Linked DNA regions of Schizosaccharomyces pombe. The protein of the gene in region 1 interacts with the protein of each later gene in a pairwise test. Each region holds a gene or a part of one and is shown in the gene's direction. Other genes may lie near its edges.

The links. The genes of interacting proteins can lie anywhere in the genome.
Region 2: the proteins of wos2 (region 1) and pop1 interact in a two-hybrid assay, tested with the Schizosaccharomyces pombe proteins (one large-scale study listed by BioGRID).

What each region holds. Positions count from the first base shown.
Region 1 is NC_003424.3:4,467,354-4,470,993, reverse strand, and holds wos2 (p23 chaperone protein wos2), read left to right. Parts: upstream 1-1,904; 5' UTR 1,905-1,998; coding exon 1,999-2,026; intron 2,027-2,225; coding exon 2,226-2,758; 3' UTR 2,759-3,107; downstream 3,108-3,640. Other genes in the region: SPOM_SPAC9E9.15 (protein CIA30), read right to left, coding at 1-313; ESCRT III complex subunit Vps24, read right to left, coding at 638-1,333; abc1 (ABC transmembrane transporter Abc1/Ybt1), read left to right, coding at 3,632-3,640. UniProt on the Schizosaccharomyces pombe protein: Cell cycle regulatory protein that interacts with cdc2 in the control of the M-G1 transition.
Region 2 is NC_003423.3:3,467,565-3,472,451, forward strand, and holds pop1 (cullin 1 adaptor protein Pop1), read left to right. Parts: upstream 1-1,563; 5' UTR 1,564-1,778; coding exon 1,779-4,106; 3' UTR 4,107-4,321; downstream 4,322-4,887. Other genes in the region: synaptonemal complex-associated protein hop1, read left to right, coding at 4,755-4,849.

The sequences.
Region 1 (3,640 bases):
TTTCCCAATCTTGATGACAATCCTTAATGATAAAAGTATATTTATAAGAATCGCTCTTAGCAATATCGAGCTCAATTCCTTTAAACTCTTTCAGGTTCCACGTCCTATCCTTGATATTAGTAGCCTGACTACAGAATCCAGCGCCTCCCAAGGTCTTAGTATCAAGAGTGCCCCAAAACTTGGCGCGAGATTTCCCATCACTATCCTTCTCCTCAGTGAGATGACTTATCGAAGAGCCTCCACGAACCCTATCATCTACAGCACGAAAATCCTGCTCATGCCAATTTTCTGGCTGACCAAAAAGAACAAGCATTTCTTTTTAATGGAGTAATGTTCAACAGCGGTGGATATATGAGTATTTTGTATTCAATAACAAAGGCAAAGGAAAGATATGAAGCCTACTTATTGAATATATCTGCCAAAAATTGAATGATATAGGAAGGCGGTCCATGATGCATAATTACTTCATATGCTACTGATGAAAATTTAACGAGAAAAAGAATTTTGTGCCATAAAATTACTACAACCGTAATGCAGGGAGTTTTGTTAAATATGCAAGGAAATCAGTTTAAATGATATAATACAAAGAATAAACATGTAAAATTAGAAGCAGAGAAAGAAAAAATATTTAAACCGTTTAGGATTTCAAAGCATCTAGCTTATCACGAATGTCCAACAATTGTTCTTCATCAATTTCAGTAGAGTCTTTAGCAATCCCATTGGATAAAGATGGAAGTGCTTGTTTGAGTGATTGTTCACGATGTGTAGCAGCATCCGCTGCTTTTTCTGAAGGTGCAGGAATGACATTATATTTTGTAAGAATTTCTTGGACTTCCTCATCCTCATCAGCCAAATCCATCAATTCTTCATCGTCTTCTACTGGTAGAAACATTTCATCACGCATTTCCTCTAAGACACCTGCCTTTGTAAGTTCCATAGACAGATTTCTCATAGTTTCCGAGAGTTGGGGAAGACGAATTAAAGATGATACATCTTGCATTATCTTTGTGCTGGATTGCATAGTACCTTGTATCTTTAACATAGCCATCTGGTCATTCAGTTGTAGACTTAGGCTTCCTAATAAAGCTTTTGATTCGGCGAGTCTTTTACCATGTCGGTTTGCACGGGCAATTTCTTTAGCCAATATACGCATATTTGTAATATCAGATTGCTTTGCCAATTGTTTCAGCTGAACCTCTGCCTTTTTCCTGCCTGCTTTAAGATGGTATACCTGCCGATCTAGTTGTCGTTGTTCTTTTCGAATGATGGATTGCCATTTTCTGTTTTGTTCTTGAGGCGTCGGACCAAAGAAATAAGATCTTACAGTTTGCATTTTGATAATAAAATATGAGAAATGCTGGGTGATAGGAAAAAATGGATAAACACGTAAATTCCCCGTTTACCAATTAAAAAAAAAACAAAAACGATGGATGATTATGCAATAATACAAGGAAAGAAAGTTATGAAAAACAAAACTGACACAAATCTCTCTAAAAAAATGATACTGAAACCGAAATGATATGAAACCTTTAAAAAAAGTCTTACTTCTTCAATTGTTCAAACGAAGAATCCTCAAATCAGCGTAAACCGAATAGTCCTCAAATAGAGTACATCAAGTTGGTCTTTTCAATTTATGAATTGATTAAAAAAGCGGCTTCTAGGATTTTAAAATCCCGTTTTACAAGAAATCAATTAATTGATCAGCTTCTTGACAATTGACGTTAAACAGACTCAATTTTCTAAAATCGATCAACAAGGATAACTATTAAAACTGCAATTTAACAATTTTATTCCCTAGACGCTTCTGGCACAGTCTTGAATACTTGAGCGTATGTTCTAGAAAATACCGTACCCAGTGACTTATAGTTCACTATATAATGTAGGTGACTTCAAGAACCTGCACTAGACAAACCACTTTAGCAGTTCACAGTTGAAAAGTTTCAACATAAAATTACCATATTGAACCTATTATTTACCTATACTTTTTATCATTAAAGAATGAGTTTAAATACACAAATTCCTGAAGGTATGTTACAACAAAAATCCGTAACACCTTATACTGCGAAGAATCTGAGACGAGAATAAGCCGAATAATTCTCGTTTGAAGATAGTATTTTCTTCGGTTTCTTCACATAAAATATTTGATTAGCGGTTTTGTATATTCTGTTTTCCAATGTACATTTATTTGCGTGTTTTATTAGTGCTTGTTACTAACATTCGTTTAGTTTTATGGGCACAAAGATCCAATAAGGATGATGCTGAAAAGAACGTAATTTACCTCACCGTTTTAATTCCGGATGCTGTTGACCCAAAAATTAATTTGACACCTGAAAAACTAGTTATCGATAGCAAATCTGGAGCCAACGCTCATTACGCAGTTCAAATTGACTTTTTTAAGGACATTGATGTCGAGAAAAGCAAGTACTCTGTTACCGGCCGCTACATCTTTTTCGTCTTATACAAGAAGGAATTACAAGAAGAGTTTTGGCCTCGTCTTACTAAAGAGAAACTTCGATTACACTGGCTCAGAACGGATTTTGATCGTTGGGTTGACGAGGATGAGCAAGAAGCACAACCTGAAGTTAGTCCATTTGGCGCAGGTGGCATGCCAGATTTGAGCGCACTTGGAGGTATGGGCGGTATGGACTTCAGTCAATTTGGTAACCTTGGAGGAGCTGGAGCTGGTGAAGATGCTAGTGACAGCGAACCTGAACTCGAAGAGGAAGAGGAAGTTGGCAGTAACGAAAAGAAAGAGTAATAATGTTATCATGTAATCAGTCTTAAAATGCATCCATTTTATCTTTTACGTTTCATACAAAATTGCAATCAACCTTTTTGTGAGGTGGAGCGGAGCAAATTTGAGCTGCGTTGACAGTTTTTTATTAAAAACAGTAAACTAAAGTACCATCTTCTACCTATATGGCTGAATATATTGATTAGGAAATGTTTGTTCCCAATACAGATATGTTGCTCATGTATTAAGACCCGTACGAATTGCATACTTTAATGATTATATGTCAAATTCTATTCCTGAATGGTTTCATATTATGATTTTATATAGAATGTTTAGTTAGTCATATGAAATTTACTAGCTCACATCTGCATATAAAAAACTTTATTTTCGTAGTCATGTACTTCAGAACCGTCGAACATCATTTTAAGTTACTCAGATAGATATTAATTTAATATCAATATAAATTTTAAACAGAGTCATTTAATTGAGGTAATTTACCAAATGTAAAATAAACAAAAAAATAATTACGCCGGGGTGTGTTTTTTTTCGGCAACATATGCTTTTCTGTTTACCATCACCACAGCATAATATCTCTCATTAACTCCTTCAATTACCCGAGGCAATTAGACATTTATTTTTTAACTCTTGACCACAAAGTAATTAAATACTGAATTTGATGAATAATTCCTAAACGATTGATTGTTAGTTGTTTGCATTGTTAATTTTATTAATTACGATTGCCCTAATCGTTGCAAAATCCTCTATTTATTTTTCCCTCCCATTGGACATTTTTGGACTTATGTTTATTGACCTTGGACTTTTTATTGCTTAACATTTTAGGTCGTTTGAGGTTTTTATCCCATTAGAATTTTTTTTTTGTAGACTTTGCGACTTGTGATGAAAATG
Region 2 (4,887 bases), on another chromosome or scaffold:
TTGACTTTATAAACGATAGGATATGCTAGTAACTTGATACTAGAAAATAAAAGAAAGATGGTAAAGAATATAATGGTCTTTACCTTTTGCGGTTCTGATTGTTTAATTTCAGCTCACGGCTTTTCCCTAAAAATCAGCTCAGCTTTATATACATTTCTTTTTTCAAGCACTTCACCATCTTTTGATTAAGAGCCGTGGCGTTTTGCCACTAATTAACCATGAAAGCCTGTAAGTTTTCAACGTTGATTTTTTCAGAAAATTTCTAACCATAAACCCGAAATAATTAGCGCCAAAACAGTCAACTATTGCGCTCCAATCATTGCTTGCCTTGCTATCGGCTTTGTATTCATTGGCTGATAACTTAATTAAAAATGAACTTAAAAGTCAGTTGATAAATTCAACCAATTAAATGCGTGAATTTGATCTACCCCAGGAAAATTTATACTGTCCCGGGGTCGCGGGGCGTTCAATCATTCATTTCAAAGCAAATTATTATTATTTCCAAGCCAAGTAATTTAATTTTTGTTTATCGCTTTAGCTTTCTTATCATAAGGAAGTTCTTGGTCCCCTGGGCCTTTTGCAATTGAATTGCGCGGTGTACGTAAGCCTAATGACATCCCTGTATACCTAACTTACAAATACGTTGGCTCGACTCAACGTTATATTGATTTTCTCCTAATACTATTAAATATATTTAATAATCTCTTGGGAAAGTAATCTGGTACATACAAATCATCCTAGATATAAGAGGCTCGGTGCATTTCGGCAAATGATGTTCTGCAGCTCATTAAATATGATATAATATTAATTAATTAATATCGTGTTTACACTCGGTTTATCGGTTTGCTATGCTAAGAACTTTTACGGATAACAATTTAATTATTTATCTTGGTAGCGTATTTGACGCTTCTTTGGATACTGAGATTAAGTCAAATTTTGAATGGAGAGAAGTCGAATAATAGCCCAATGCCTGCCGAAATTACCCGATGCATGTCATTGACGAGACAAAAAATTTCTTTCAACGGCCTAAGAAAATGATGTACTAGAAACGCCATCTTAGTCTGACATTTTACATTTTACGCTCATGCTCAAATTTTATTAATAAATTATTATATGTGTCCGTGTCATTTAGAATATGACAGGGGAGGGTAATCTCTTTCCCAACTTTATTGGCGTGTAATGAAATTCGCGAGCTACTATTGTGTCTGCATTCTTTAGCTGCAAAAACGCAACGGAAAAGACAATTTTATAATATGAATACTTCACGTGTTCATTGTTTTTGTCTTTAGAGAATTTATTTGAAAATGCTGAGGAGGTTAATATCTGGTATACAATTAAAACACTATCGCAAATAATGTAAAAAAAAATAATATTGAGGAGCCATAACTAAGTCATATAACTTTTCTTATTGAACTATTGTTATGTCGCGATTTAGTCGTATTTACCATAAACTATAAAAACTTTTCTTAATCAACAGTAAAATTGTTACTTATTCTGGTGTTACTTACACCTCCGCTTGCGTAGAGTGAATTTAAAATTCATTGCCAAGAGTTTATGGTCTTTACGATCTATCTCGCTGAACTTCAAAAAAACCAAGAAAAAGTATTGCTCTAATGCATTAAGACGATAACTATTTGCAAAATAATTTCATATACATGTTTCCCAACGGGCAGTTGTTTTAAGTAAATTCATCAGTATCGATTCTTGAACCAGGTTCTCTAACATCATAAAAGAACTTGACAAATACTTTTCTACTAAGTGTCTGTAAACTACTTGAAATGAATGAGAAGAAAAAAGATAGCCTATCTGTTTTAGATTCCAATGAATTTTTCGGTGAGACAACTATGGTATCACCGAGTATTGATGTTTCCTCTTCTCCCCGGCCAAATGTCGAGAGATTTTCTCCATGTTCCACTAAAAAAGATCTCCTGGAAGGAAATAATATAATGACCAGAATTCCCGAGGAGCTTAGTCGTGTTAGTCTACAATTTGATAGCAAGGGAAGTCAGCAATCGATGATATTTACTAACAATCGATGTTTATCTGATAAAGAAAATTTGGAAAACTTGCAAAATCTTTTATATCTACATTGTGATCTTAACCGGCCCCATTTGAGTTGTGAGCTGCCGTCAGAGCATCGCGAAAAGTGCCTTAAACGCCGTAACTCTAGTCTCAGCTCTAATTTGCATGCTAATAAGCGGTTTCTCTTCAATTCTCAAAGTGATGGGAATAAAAAGAATGAAACTTTTCCTTCTACTAACTACTCGAACGTTTTCTACCCAAACAACTGTGACAGTAAGGAAGTCGCTAGTGAAACAACATTCTCACTTGATGCACCAAATAATTCTGTTAATTACTCTTATTTTTCTCCTAATTTACTCGGCAACGATTCCAAAACCCGTCAATCTTTTCCCCCTCATTCATCTTCATCTTCACATAATTCTTTGCATGAACCTGTCATATATGATTTTTCTTCAGAAAATCCTAGCATTCATCCTTCTAATCATTTGAGCTCTCAAAAAAATGCTGTTTTGAAATTAGCACAATTAATTTCTTCCTTCGAAAAATTACCCGAAAGTGTTCGTCAATACTTACTTTTTCATCTTCTTTCTCGATGTGGAAAACATGCTGTTCAAAATATTCACAAAATTCTGCTTCCTATCTTTCAAAAGAACTTTTTAACTGGATTTCCGGCTGAGATTACAAATTTAGTGCTTACGCATTTAGATGCACCTTCATTGTGTGCAGTTTCGCAAGTTTCGCATCACTGGTATAAGTTGGTATCGTCCAACGAAGAACTTTGGAAAAGTCTCTTTTTAAAAGATGGTTTCTTTTGGGATTCAATTGATAGTAAAATCCGTACGATGTGTTTAGAACAATCTTTGTCAGCCTGTGCGATAATGAAGCGGGTCTATTTTAGACATTTTAATCTTCGTGAAAGATGGCTCCATGCCCCGGAGAAAATTAAGCGATGTTCATTCCCAATTCATGGAGTTCGTCTTATTACCAAACTTCAGTTTGATGATGACAAAATAATTGTTAGCACCTGCAGTCCTAGAATTAATATATATGACACGAAAACAGGTGTCCTGATACGCAGTTTAGAAGAGCATGAAGGTGATGTTTGGACTTTTGAATACGTTGGGGATACTTTGGTTACTGGCTCCACAGACAGGACAGTAAGAGTCTGGGACCTTAGAACCGGTGAATGTAAACAGGTGTTTTATGGACACACGTCAACAATCCGTTGTATCAAAATAGTTCAAGGCAATCAAAGTACTACTGATACTGATGATGTGGAAAAAGAAAACAGACCAGCTTCAAATGATGCTAATTCAATGCCTCCGTATATAATTTCAAGTTCAAGGGATTGTACGATCCGTTTATGGAGTCTTCCATGCCTTGACGATCCACCATTTGTTAATGTAAATGAAAATCCTGATCAGAATAATGACTTTACTTCAGCTACGACCAATCCGTTTTACATCCGAACATTACGTGGTCATACGGACTCGGTACGTGAAGTTGCTTGTCTTGGAGATTTGATTGTCAGTGCCAGTTATGATGGTACTCTTAGAGTATGGAAGGCATCTACTGGCGTTTGTTTACATGTTCTTCGGGGACACGTCGGGAGAGTATACAGTGTCACAATTAATCCTTCTCGTCAACAATGTATCAGCGCTGGTACGGATGCTAAAATTCGTATTTGGAACCTTGAGTCTGGAGAACTTCTACAGACCCTTCATGGTCATTCGAATTTGGTAAGTCAAGTTACATTTAACCAAAATATCTTGGTATCCGCTTCTGCTCCTCCTGATACATCGTTGAGAGTTTGGGATCTAAACACCGGAAGTTGTCGAGATATTTTAAAATGTCCTTTGGGACACATATTTTTTCAACACGACGAGAGCAAAGTTGTCAGTGGAAGCCATAGTACGCTACAGTTATGGGACATTCGTTCCGGAAAGTTAGTAAGAGACCTATTGACTGATTTGGATATAATCTGGCAAGTTGCTTATAATGAAAATGTATGTGTGGCTGCTGTTTTAAGAAATAACCGTTTTTGGATCGAGGTCCTAGAGTTTGGATCTACTAAATCTTCTTGAGCTTTTATAAGTTGAGATACTAGAAATCTATAAAAGATCTCGAAATTTTATTTTACGTTTCCAAACTGAAATAGATTCATGCTATTTATTCTGGAAACTCCTCTATCATATAATATTTGTCTAATTGTTTGTTGACTTTTAAATGTTTACTCATAATTTTCTTTTTTAAATATCTAATAAGAATGCAAAATAATATTTTTTTAAATGATCTATTCTACATTTATAAATTATTTAGTGTTAAATTCGTTTGTTGAGGCCAAAATTTTTTTACCAAAGGGATAAGCGAATTTCTTGAATCCTTAGCTTCAAATAGCGTCCATTCTACCCAAAAGCGTACTATATTTTTATAATTAGCAAACTATAGTAAATAAAAAAACAAACATTTTAGCTTTGTAAATGTAAAAAGACATTTAATTTAACAAAAGGCTTTTACATTACTTCATAAGCTACCAAATGTCTTCATCGTAAAACATGCTTTTCGCATTCCATTTATCTATGTAAGCCATTTTAGTGTAGTTTAAAGTGTTGGAAAACCACAGGTGGGACTGTAATATACGTACACTTAAGACGCGTTCGACGCGTTCACAAAATTACCATATATAGATATCAACTTATCAAATACCCTTTACTTCTAAGTATAAATGACAAATGAATTCATACAAAGAGGAAATTCTGCAAACTAAGTCTGACTTTACTCTTAAAAATTTAATTTTCTTCGCGATATCAACATTATGCTATAAGCGGTACGCAGACATATAATTTTTAAATTAAAATAGCTAAC